Mus musculus: one gene and its partners. The protein of the gene in region 2 binds, or shares a complex with, the protein of the main gene of each other region. Links are inferred from orthologs where the notes say so. Each region holds a gene or a part of one and is shown on either strand. Other genes may lie near its edges.

What was found. Proteins that work in one complex are often made in the same cells at the same time.
Region 1: Pigp (region 2) and Pigc share a complex: the UniProt entries of both Homo sapiens proteins name them as parts of the glycosylphosphatidylinositol-N-acetylglucosaminyltransferase (GPI-GnT) complex. The link is inferred for Mus musculus from reciprocal best matches to the Homo sapiens genes PIGP and PIGC.
Region 3: Pigp (region 2) and Pigyl share a complex: the UniProt entries of both Homo sapiens proteins name them as parts of the glycosylphosphatidylinositol-N-acetylglucosaminyltransferase (GPI-GnT) complex. The link is inferred for Mus musculus from reciprocal best matches to the Homo sapiens genes PIGP and PIGY.

The regions. Positions count from the first base shown.
Region 1 is NC_000067.6:161,967,601-161,971,998, forward strand, and holds the start of Pigc (phosphatidylinositol N-acetylglucosaminyltransferase subunit C), read left to right. Parts: upstream 1-1,587; 5' UTR 1,588-1,679; exon of another isoform or gene 1,680-1,769; intron 1,770-2,626; exon of another isoform or gene 2,627-2,639; 5' UTR 2,640-2,850; coding exon 2,851-3,744; 3' UTR 3,745-4,398. Other genes in the region: 4930558K02Rik (uncharacterized protein C1orf105 homolog), read right to left, coding at 311-396. UniProt on the Homo sapiens protein: Part of the glycosylphosphatidylinositol-N-acetylglucosaminyltransferase (GPI-GnT) complex that catalyzes the transfer of N-acetylglucosamine from UDP-N-acetylglucosamine to phosphatidylinositol and participates in the first step of GPI biosynthesis.
Region 2 is NC_000082.6:94,363,857-94,367,601, reverse strand, and holds the end of Pigp (phosphatidylinositol N-acetylglucosaminyltransferase subunit P), read left to right. Parts: coding exon 1-41; intron 42-2,128; coding exon 2,129-2,247; intron 2,248-2,814; coding exon 2,815-2,939; 3' UTR 2,940-3,150; downstream 3,151-3,745. UniProt on the Homo sapiens protein: Part of the glycosylphosphatidylinositol-N-acetylglucosaminyltransferase (GPI-GnT) complex that catalyzes the transfer of N-acetylglucosamine from UDP-N-acetylglucosamine to phosphatidylinositol and participates in the first step of GPI biosynthesis.
Region 3 is NC_000075.6:22,155,235-22,158,866, forward strand, and holds Pigyl (phosphatidylinositol N-acetylglucosaminyltransferase subunit Y precursor), read left to right. Parts: upstream 1-1,611; 5' UTR 1,612-1,679; intron 1,680-2,497; 5' UTR 2,498-2,760; coding exon 2,761-2,976; 3' UTR 2,977-3,121; downstream 3,122-3,632. UniProt on the Homo sapiens protein: Part of the glycosylphosphatidylinositol-N-acetylglucosaminyltransferase (GPI-GnT) complex that catalyzes the transfer of N-acetylglucosamine from UDP-N-acetylglucosamine to phosphatidylinositol and participates in the first step of GPI biosynthesis.

The DNA.
Region 1 (4,398 bases), on a different chromosome or scaffold from region 2:
TAGAATTCGAAGACTAGAAATTGAAGCGGGGTGGGGGGAAACTATGGAAGTGTTTTGAGTTACAGTGTCTGTGGTTGAATAGTACACGCAGAAATGAAGGTTATGGCGGCTCTCATTTCTTCTAGCCAGGCCTTTACATAGCATAACCTTTGTCTGAGAAACCCAGGGCGTTTCTTTCTTTTTTCTTTTTCTTTTTCTTTTTTTTGCATTCGACTTGGTTTCTCAACAGGGCACATGCACCTCTCCACCTTAAGAGTACAACCACTGAGCTCTGCCTCGAAGGCTCTGTCCTCAGAAGCTGGGAAGTTACCTTCTGGGGATGCTCAGGATCAATGGTTTGTTTACCAGGCTGGCCTCACTCAGCCAAGGAATCTTGTCAAACTTTGGAACAAAAGCCTACAGAGAGAGAAATGGAAAGAGATCAGGTTGCAGAGTTTATCACACTTCCGAAGACTAAATCTTAAAGGGAGTCACAGGGCCAGAGAGATGCCTTGGTGGCTAACAGCACTCCTTCCTCTTGGAGAAAAGCCAGGTTTAGTTGACAGCACCCACAAGCCAGCTCATGACTGCCTGTAACTATAGCGGCAGGGGACCTAGCACCTTCTTCTGACCTCCACAGACACCTGGAGTCAGGAGCACATATGTAGACATAATTAAAAACAAAATATTAAAAAAAAGTTAAAATACTTGACCAGTGCTGGTATTACAATAAGCAAAGTAAGCTAACAGCAACCACACAGCAATCAATACATTGCAAACTATTTTAACACGAGAGTCCTCCAACCATTCCATAAGGTGGCCAAGAACAAATAAGCGCCTTCTTTCTTTTACAGACAAAGAATTCAAAGCCCAGATAGTGTGAATATGAATAAATGGGTTCATGCTTTCTGCCTCTGTGTCCACACTATTTAACAGTCTCTATATTTTAAATTCTTCGAGCTTCCATCTATTTATAAATCCTGTGACACTTCCAAGACCCCAGTTGAAAATCAGCAATCTCTCGTCCCAAAGGCTCTCCACCCTCATCTCTTTTAGGTGGCAAAGTCTAGGAAAGGATCCAGCTTTGGAGCCATCCACATTTGGATATTTCTGATCTACTTGCAATTACTAACCAGCTGCCTGACTTTGGTCAAAAACAAACTAATGATCGCATCGTCTCTGTGCAAGTCAACGCACAGGATGCTATGTGAGATCTGGGATCTCCCCGACTCCCCCCCCCTTTTTTTTTTTTTTTTTTTTTTTTTTTTTTTTTTTTGGTGAATACCAGAAGCCTGGTTTGGCACCTATAGGAGGAGGGTTTGGATGCATGGAAAGTCCCTTGGCTGAGAGCCTGTCAACACATGTCATGGTAACCTTGCAGTTACCAGTCTTCCACCAGCCCCGCGACTCTTCCTGCCTTCTCCTGCCTTCCACACCCTGTGAAGTAATTCCCACTGAGGGATTTGCTTCCCAGGCTTAGCATTCCACTAGGAGCAGATTGCCAGGAGAGGAGCAATCAGTAGAGGGCAGCAGTGACCTCGCGGTGTGGAGTCTCGGGGCGGGACGCTTTGGCCGCCGAGTGCTGCGGATCCGGAAGTGCTCCTCCACAGTAGTCCCCTTCCAAGCCGGCGTCCCGGATGTAGAAGTAGCTAGGCGGCCGCTCTTCTCGGTCGTGCACCCCCCTAAAGAGCTTGGTGCAGGTGGGTTCCGGCGTCCTTCGCTGTGAGCGCTTCCGGCTGATCCAAGGCTGGGGCGGGGGTCGGCAGCGGCGGGCGGGGCAGGCCGGTTGGGTGAGTGGTAGCCCAAGACCCTTCGCCGCCCGGTGACGGGGACCTTTCAAATCCCGAGGTCCCAGTGCGTGAGGGCCGACTCCAGGGTGTACGGCTTTTAAAGCAAAGGTCTATCCTAGCCTCCACGAAAAATACAGACGGTCCGGCAGGAAGTTCTTTCTCGAATTTGCTGAATGACCTCTGTGTTTACGACTGGGATGATTGTTTTCTTGATCCTGCGCTAGAGTTTTGCTGTTTCAGTTAATTAGGATGATATAGCACTTTAAAGGATAGTAAGTTCAGCTAATGAACAAAAAAGATTTGAGTTCTTGGTTTGGGCTAAAACTATAGAGAGATCATGCCCTTTTGTACGGTGCAGGTTATTGTCATTCGACCGATAACTTATTCAGATACCTTTGGGGACCTAGTAACGGCTATGGATGGATTCTGTCCCTATAAATTTGCGTAAGTTGCAAATATAATCATGCAAAAATAGTATAAACCTTAGAGTGTATGAATGCCCAAGTTAAGACTGGCTTAGAGAAGGACGACCAGAAGCAGAGACTTTGACACTAGACTTTTGTAGGAGGTCTGGCTCCACGCTGTTAGCCTGGGACCTAAATACTCTACTGTTTTGAAACTCAGATGTCTTATTAGGTAAACTCATAACTGGTATTAACTTGTAAGGCTGTGACAGTTAAAGAAGGTGCATAAGACATTTAACATTCTGAGTTAGATGCAGATATCAATTATTAAGACTACACTTTAAAATGTGAAGGCTTAATGCCGCATTATGTCACCAGACACAATTTATCTAGGCTTTCAGTAAGCCAAGTTGTTTTTTATTGTATCTGATGCCAGCTTCCATATATTTACAGTTCTCTCTTCTAGGAATTTAGCTGTGTTGTCCTGACCCTCAGGACAAACTCATCTAATGCAGGCTCAGCTTGTACTGAAGGCTTTGTAAACAAGGAAAGTTCTGTAGGGTATCAGCATGGCATTTCCAGAGAGTTCTTAATCTACAGATTTATCAAGAACCAGAACCCCATGGACGTCCCTGAGGGAGATTGAGCCAACCTGGATTTGAGGAAAGAATGAGATAATGTGTGCTCAACGTGTAACAGACACCCCAGAAGTCAAGTGGCAGAAGGTTTTATATGAGCGGCAGCCGTTCCCTGATAACTATGTTGACCAGAGGTTCCTGGAAGAACTCCGGAAAAACATCTATGCCCGGAAGTACCAGTACTGGGCTGTGGTATTTGAGTCCAGTGTGGTGATACAGCAGCTGTGCAGTGTCTGTGTTTTTGTAGTGATCTGGTGGTACATGGATGAGGGTCTTCTGGCTCCCCAGTGGCTTTTTGGGACCGGACTGGCATCTTCCTTGGTTGGGTATGTTTTATTCGATCTTATCGATGGAGGTGATGGACGGAAGAAGAGTGGGCGGACCCGGTGGGCCGACCTGAAGAGTACTCTGGTCTTTATCACTTTCACTTACGGTTTTTCACCTGTGCTAAAGACCCTGACGGAGTCTGTCAGTACAGACACTATCTACGCCATGGCAGTCTTTATGCTGTTAGGCCATCTCATCTTCTTTGATTACGGTGCCAATGCTGCTATTGTATCCAGCACCCTGTCCTTGAACATGGCCATCTTTGCTTCTGTTTGCCTGGCCTCACGCCTCCCCCGGTCACTCCACGCCTTCATTATGGTGACGTTTGCTATCCAGATCTTTGCACTGTGGCCCATGTTACAGAAGAAACTGAAGGCGTACACCCCGCGAAGCTATGTAGGGGTCACTTTGCTTTTTGCCTTTTCTGCCTTTGGAGGTCTTCTGTCCATTAGTGCTGTGGGAGCCATACTCTTTGCTCTCCTGCTGTTTTCCATCTCCTGTCTCTGCCCTTACTACCTCATTCATCTGCAGCTTTTTAAGGAAAATATTCACGGGCCTTGGGATGAAGCTGAAATCAAGGAAGACTTGTCTAGGTTCCTTAGCTAATCTAGGGACCTTCATTTCATTATTAAGACCAGCGGAAAGACTTCGAGCCTAACCGGTGCAACATTTAAAGGCAGGGGTCCACTCTTGAAGCAGCCGACTGATCTAGATGGTAGAGCTGAGATCAGAAGAAAGCATTTAACCAAGGGCTTAGGGGAGGGTGCTTGTCCTTCAGTTATTTTGTGACTGAAAAAGCTTTCTGGTGCTGTTATGAATTATTGTCCTTTATTCCCTGTAACAAATGATGTAATGTGGGTTCTGCTTATTAAAAAAGTAATATCCATTGCATTGTCTAGTATTTTAAAAAAAACAAAACAAGGAAACCCTTATTTATGTGTGTATAAGAGAGGGGGTTTGTCTATTTCCAGTATGTATGTCCCACGCATCAAATTCAGGCCCTGGCAACAGGCCTTTACCAGCTGAGCCATCACACTGGCCCTGTCTCATTTTTATGAGAGCATAAGACAAAAGTAGTATGAAGGTGTGTGTGTGTGTGTAAAAGTGTAATCAGTTGTTTAGCCTTTTCTGTGTATACTAAGGGACACCTTTATATATCTAGAGCCCAAATTTGAGAATCCCTGATGGTGGCATCCAGTTTGTTGTCCAATACCACAGAAGTGGTCACTCAAGGAGAGCTACATGCCATAGAAACAAAAC
Region 2 (3,745 bases):
TCTTGGTTAAACTCCTTAGGCTTAACTTACTGGCCTCAAAAGTAAGTTTAATATTTCTTCAATGGGGAGGTAAAACTGATATTGTTTTGCAGGGTAATACTCTTCTCTAAAACCCAAGCCTTAAATCCTTATGGCTTTTAAAATCCATGAGTATCTGTGTTGAAATTGAATGTTGCTTTTATTTTTGTACTGGGGGAGGGTAGTGGGGGTATTCACATGTGCGTGCCCACGTTGTATGTGTAGGTGAACATATTTGCACGTGCATGTAGTGCCTCAAAGTTGATGTCAGGAGTCTTTCTTGAGGGTGACATTGAGCCCAGAGCTCTATAGTACAGCTAGTCTGACTAGCCGACTTGTTCCAGAATTCCCTGTGTCTGCCTCTGAGTACCAAACTTACAGCTGGCCTGCCACATAAGCTCAGCACATAACTGGGTCTGAGAATCCAGACCCAGGTCCACACACTTGAGTGGCAAGTGCTTTAACTAGTGAGCCACACCCCAACAGCCATACCCTAAAGGTTATTAATATATCACTAATTAAAGGTGGTGGGGCAAACATTTATCTCCGTTTCCTCCTAAAATCATGCTAAAATTATACTGTTGCCGGAAAATCTTTTAAAGGTATAAGCATACAAAATGGGATAGTAGGTAAGATATTAACAAAATTTTAGGACATGCTTCAAGATAGAAGAGTCTGGTTTTTCCATGTGGTAGACGAGGGAACCCAACAAGAACATTTGTGCCCTGGAATTCCAAAAAGGACCCAGACCTCAGGAGCAGCAGTGTCTCTTGGTAATGGTAATTCTGCATTGGATAGGAATTTTGTTTAAAATGCGTTAGACCTGCTGACTCCCCTTCCATATCTTAAACCTGGAGATTTATCCTGCCCGCCCCTTCAAAAAAATAGTTCCATCCTGTGGAAAGTGCTGGGCAGAGTCTAGTCTGGAAGTTACAAGGGTTAACTGTAGAAATGAAGCACAGGGGACAATTAACAAGCATCTGCTTGGCCGAATAAGGCTTCCTCCCCAGCACCTTCCCTTACCAGGCTTTATCCTCTCCCAGAGAAAGGTGGGAGGCACCTTTCTGAGGAAGCTGACCAGGGTAAAAGGCAGCATCTATAATCTAACCTTTCTGCCATCTCTGCCCATGTACATCACATACCTTACTTCCTATCAACTTATCACTTGGATCTTAAATATAATACGCCATCATAAACACCAGGCACTAAAAGAAAAGTCTGTCCTTAAATACAAAATAGAAGATACTTAAAAGAAATGGAGATAATGCCATCTAACAGAACGGGGAAAAGGTTTAATCATCTGAGATGAGAAAGAATCCTGAATGGTATGCTGCCCAAGGGATTTTTTTAAATTACCATTGAAAAGTTATAAGCATGGTAATTAAAATGTTATCTAGAAAGTTGACTGTTGAGACAGTGGAACAGAAAGCAAAGATGGAAAACAGAGAAATGAATAATGGTGCAAAAAAGTGGAAATTGTAGCAAAGGAAAACGGTAGGGAGGAAATGATTTAACAAAACCTGGCAAGATAGAGCACTTAGTGGACGTCACTGTATGGAGAGGAAAACAGAGACATATAAGAATTTGATTCTGGAGTTTTGATAGATACTGGGGAAACAGTAGACAGAAATGTATAATTTCAGAAAAACAGATAAGAAAACATAATACACTAAGGTTCTCAGCTGCAAATGTTAGCATAACCAGTTGTTTTTAACTGCTGTCATAATAAAGTGAAGCATGTGCAGAAAGTGTGAGGAAGAAGTAAACACCTTATTTTCATTTTAGAGCATCTAGAGAAAATGCCTAAAGCTGATGAAAATCAAGATATAATGTAGGCACGTTATATGGAAATGAGGATGTAAATACCAGAAGAAACAGCTCAGATATTGAAAGGGCATGTTTGGGCAGAATAAAATTCTAGGGTTGGGATGGCTTGGCTGAGACAGGTGTCTGCAGCTGTTCATTGGCCCCTTATAGCACTATCTGTTACATGCATACATCAGCTACTTTAATAATACTCTAGATTGTTAAAGTGTGTTTTGTGACTGACTCTTGGGAATTATGACTCATTCATGCATGTTTGTTGACATGCATGAATTCTCTTGTGCAGATACTGGGCGGTTGCATTGCCCGTCTACCTCCTTATCACAGTTGTAATTGGTTATGTGCTCTTATTTGGAATCAACATGATGAGTACCTCTCCACTTGACTCCATTCATACGATCACAGGTACGTTTATATGAAATAAAATTATGAGGCATAGAGGAAAGAGATATTAGTACTTTTATCAGAAAAGCAATCAGAAATAGGCCTAAGAAACACGTTGGGAGAAAGTCATCTGATACATTCAACATGGCATGATGATTAATCTCAATTGGCAACTTGAAGGAATTTAGAGTCACCAGGGAAACCAATACTGAGCATTCTATGAGGTTTATCTAGAGTCAGTTTATTGAAGTGGGAAGATACCTTAAATGTGGTATGTACATGGGCTCTAGGTCTGAATAAAAAGGAGAAAATAACCTGAATATAAGCATTTATCCCCGTCTGCCTCCTGACGGACAAATGGTAGACACACGTGGTCCGTCACCTCCTGCTCCTACTGACATACCTTCCCCTCCATGGTGAACTGTCTCCGTACAACTAAGCCTTAAGTTGCATTTGTTAGGGACTTTGTTACAGCATGAGGTAAATAGCTAATAATAGCTCGCGGTGATTGCCATCATCTGCACATCAGCCTGCTGAGCAGTGTGATAGGTCTCAACCAACCACAGAGCTTTTCTTCTTCTCTTGCAGATAACTATGCTAAAAACCAACAGAGGAAAAACTACCAAGAGGATGCCATCCCAGCATTGAGAGATGTCCCCATTAGTGAAGTAAACAAAATGTTTTTCCTAGGAGCCAAAGAACTCAATACCTAAAACTGAGCTGTGTATAAACATCCTAAAACCAGTCATTTACAGTTGTGGGCTGAATAATTTTGAGCATAATTATATTGATTGTCCTTTTAATACCCAATATTGACATGTAAAAACATGACAGTTGATTCCTTAGATTAAGTTCAATTGGTATTGTAAATATTTTCAACTGAGTTTTTAATTGACAATAAATAAAATACCACATTATACTATAGTCAACCTTGAGTAGATCTATATGTGCACACATGCATGTGTTCATGGGTGTATGAATGCATACATGCACAGTGTACATAGAGGTCAGAGAACAACTTCGGTTGTCTCTCTTCAGTGCCCTTTGTTTGAGACAGGGTTTCCCATTGGCCTCACTTCACCATGTAGGCCAGGCTGGCCCACAAGTTTCCAGGGCCCTACCTGTCTCTGCCTCCTACCCCATTATGACTTTTGTGTGGGTGCAGAGATCCAAACTCGGGTCTTCATGCCCCTACAGTATATACTTTACCAGCTAATCTCCCCAGCCTAACATAAAGCAACCAAGAACGGATGTCTCCCAAGTCTTCTAACATGCAGACAGAGTTGAAAGTGACTGCCTTGTCTGCTTGTCCTTAGCTGAGCCAGTGATCCAGCAAGACTGTGGCTGCTGCTTACAAAAGAGCAGGATGTGGTCAGAGCTGCCACTCAGTTCACAGTGTTCCCTTGTCCTCTCAGGGACAGTGATGGGCCTGCAAAGTTTTCAAATGGCTTGGAGTAAAACCTAGGACTCAAGTACCCAAGGAGCTAAAGGGATCTGCAACCCTTAGGCGGAACAACAA
Region 3 (3,632 bases), on a different chromosome or scaffold from region 2:
CTGCCCCGCAAAAAGTAAACCTTTGAAAAAACAAAACAAAAAACACCTTGTCCTAACACGGGGTTTCCTCTTTACCTTTTTAAACCGCCATTTCCCTGTGCACCACGTCTTTCTCCCCTCTACCCAGAGGCAGTCCTTTGCTGTGCTGTCATCATCCTGTCTGTTGTGACCCCCCCCACCCCCCTTCTCCCTCATCCTCTATCTCCTGTCTTTGGCTCTTATTCCCTGCCCTTTGAACTTTGGGGCAAAACCCCTCTACGCTAAGAACTTGGTCTTGGGTATCTTGCGCCAATACTGGCCTTTTCACAGGCGTGTGTAGTGAGTGCCTTTACCTCTTGAACTATCTTGCTGGCTATTTTTTGTTCCGATTTTAAATTTTTAAATTAAAAAATGTTTGTTACTTGCTCTGTGTAAACCATAGGATGGTTTGTCCTCAGCTCTCTCCTGCCACCTTGTGGTTGCAACAGAAGCTGCACGGACTCTATACCACTACTTACCTCTGAGAAGAAAAACTTTCTGATCTTTTAGCTTGCGGGAAGATTAAGGGATGGAGCTTCCTGTGCAGTACTGTGCAGAATCCTAGCTCAGCCTCATTTTTCTTTACGCTGGGATCAGAGATAACACTGCCTCACTAGGCAAGGCAGTGGCCGGCCCCGTGGACAGCATTTACGAACACCGTCCCTCCCCCCAACCCCAAGGCACACACACTCATCGTCTTACTATGTAGTCCGGATGACCTGGAACTTGCTATGTAGACCAGGCTGGTCTCGAACTCACAGAAATCCGCTAGCTTTTGCCTAAGGAGTGCTAGGATTAGGAGTGTGCTTGGCTACATTTTCTCTTAAAACTTCATTTTGCACTTTTTGCGGGAGTACACTCAGGTGTGCCACAATACATGTGTGGAGGTCAGAGGAAAATAGTTCTCCACCATGTGGGTACCGGAAGGTCGATCTCAGGTAGTCTGACCTGGCAGGAAACGCCTATACTCGCTGAGCCATCTCATCAGCACAAACTATTATTTTGCCATTTACCGATTCATACGTAAAATAATGTATCAGTCATCTTTCCGCTGCTTAAGAGGATAGATGATAGTGGCTGAGGCCAGGTGCGATTCAGGATTCAAGTTTATCAATTAGAAGTGGGGAAGGCAGCCGGGCATGGTGGTGCACGCCTTTAACCCCAGCAGAGGCAGAGGCAAGTGGATTTCTGAGTTCGAGGCCAGCCTGTTCTACAGAGTGAGTTCCAGGACAGCCAGGGCTGTCTCGAAAAACCAAAAAAAAAAAGTGGGGAAGGCTTTTCAGTGCAGAAAGACCCCACTGTCTGCTCTGGAGCGCCATGAATAAACTGTGGCAAATACGTTCCTCTCCTACTTCCAGCAGGACTAGCATAGGGGACGCCCAGCCAGAGACGATGGGATCCTTAGCTATCCGGTGCTCTCAGAGTCTTTCTGGCCTCACCCGTCAATCAAGACCACGGGGGCGGAGCCTGAGCCTGGGAGCGAAGGCAAGGTGAACTGTCCAATGAGCACGCGCGGACCGGCTCCATCGCGGGATCTGGGTTCCTCACCCCGCCCCTGCAGGGATTTGATTGGGCGGCTGGCCGGGCTGTCCCGCCTTCGTGGGGCGGTGACTGTCACCGCCAGGCGCCGAAGGGACCGGACTCCTACAGGCCTGCAAACGGTGAGTTGAGGGTCTCGAAATACGAGCGGAGGAGCTGTTGAAACCGGCTGGGGCGGGACTCGCGCCAGCTTGGCGTCTGCGCCATGGACGCCGCCGACTCCGTTTGTCTGGCTGGTTCGTTTTCGGTTCGGCCGGGTTCCCCCTGTCCTGTCTTGCCCCGCTCGGCTCGGCTCGGTTTTCTTCGGCTCGGCTCGGCTCGGCTCGGCTCTGTCCCTCCGTCGGTCAGAGACTGCAGCGGGCTCGTTGCCCCTTCTGGTCCCCGAGGCGACTGCGCCCAAGGGATGGCGCTGTCTTCGGTCTGTGCATTGACCGCGGGTGGCTCGTGACCTGGCCCCAGGTTCTGGTGCTGGTTCCCAGCCAGTCCTCGTATAGAAAGCCTCACTCAGATGTCTGAAGCGAACCCGGATTTGTAGGTCGCATTCCGCTTCCCCAGTTCACAAAAACATTATCAGTCCACCTGTCCTTCATTCTGTTTTTCAAATTGCTTACTTCCCAAAGTAATTCATGACACTTGTAGTGTTTTAAGCATGGTCTGGCAGCCGTTCTTTTGTCACTGCCTCCTCAATACTGATACCTCTGATGGGGGTCACTATAGGCAGTTTTGGAGGACACTCCTTTTTTTAAAGGCTTCTTTCTAGCCGGATGTGGTGGCTTGGGGAGGCTGATGCAGGAGGATCACAACGTTCGAGGCCAGCCTGCCGGTTCCAGCAATCCTGTCTCTAACCTACTCAGTGCTGGTACTGGCTGCTTCCCCATCCTTTCCTCTCCCTTCCCGTCGCCTGCCCTTCATCTTGTCATCTTGCATTTTTCTCATACAGTTAAAAGACCTCTCGCCTGCGCTGCGAGGGACACAGGTGGTGTCTGCAGTCGCTGGTAACCGCTGCGTGTGACGCGGAGGCTGAGGAGCCGGCACCTTCGGCCTGGGACCCCTGGACTTTCTGCGTGCCCTTGGGAAGCATGCCTGGGTGAATGAGGAGTCGGGACAAGGGGAAGATAAGACAAGAGCGCACCCGCACGAGAACAGAACTTTTCAAACAACTGAGTTTTCTTGAGACAGTTAACCTTTTAAGAAGGGAGGAAGATGATCCGGTCCCTGCCCACCATGACCGTCCTCATCCCACTGGTCTCGCTGGCAGGCCTGCTCTACTCCGCCTCCGTGGAGGAAGGCTTCCCAGAGGGCTGCACCAGCGCCAGCAGCCTGTGCTTCTACAGCTTGCTCTTGCCGGTCACCGTGCCTGTGTACGTGTTCTTCCATCTGTGGACATGGATGGGCCTGAAGCTCTTCAGACATAACTAGGGGAGCCGAGGCCCCTCCTGCTCGGGCTGCCTGCGGAGTGGGGCATGGCCGGAGGTTCCTGGCTGTTGCAGATTCTTTTGTAGCTGAAAAATACTTTTCAATAAAATGTCTTATGGGAGAGGAACACGACCAGCCTTCATCCAAAGACTGTTTCTTCTAAGATTTGTTCTTAATTGTGTGTCTGTGTGTGGGTATGCGCATGTGAGTGTGGGTGCCCAAGGAGGCCATGCAAGTGATGGGTCCCTGGAGTTGGGGGTACAGGCAGTTGTAGGCTACCGGAGCTGTGTTCAGATCATCCATAAAGGATGCGAGTTCATGTTCTTAGCCCCTGAGCCATCTCTCTGCCCGCCTATTGCCTTCTCATTTAGTTCTGGGGAACCTCAAGCTGTGAGAGGCAGACCTTGTCCTCCTTACCTTCCTGTCTCTACCTCCTGAGTGCTAAACTTATAGGCAAGAGCTCCACATCCATTCATGTGGTGCTGGAGGAACCCAGGGTTTCAGGAACGCCAAGCCAGCACTCTGCCAACCAAGCACCCAGGCCCTAAGGACTGTCTTTTTTTTAGCCCATTCATTTAAAAGTTAGTTGTTTGGAAGCCAGGCAGTGGTGACACACACACTTGGGAGGCAGAGGTGGATCTCTTGAGGGTCCAGGCCAG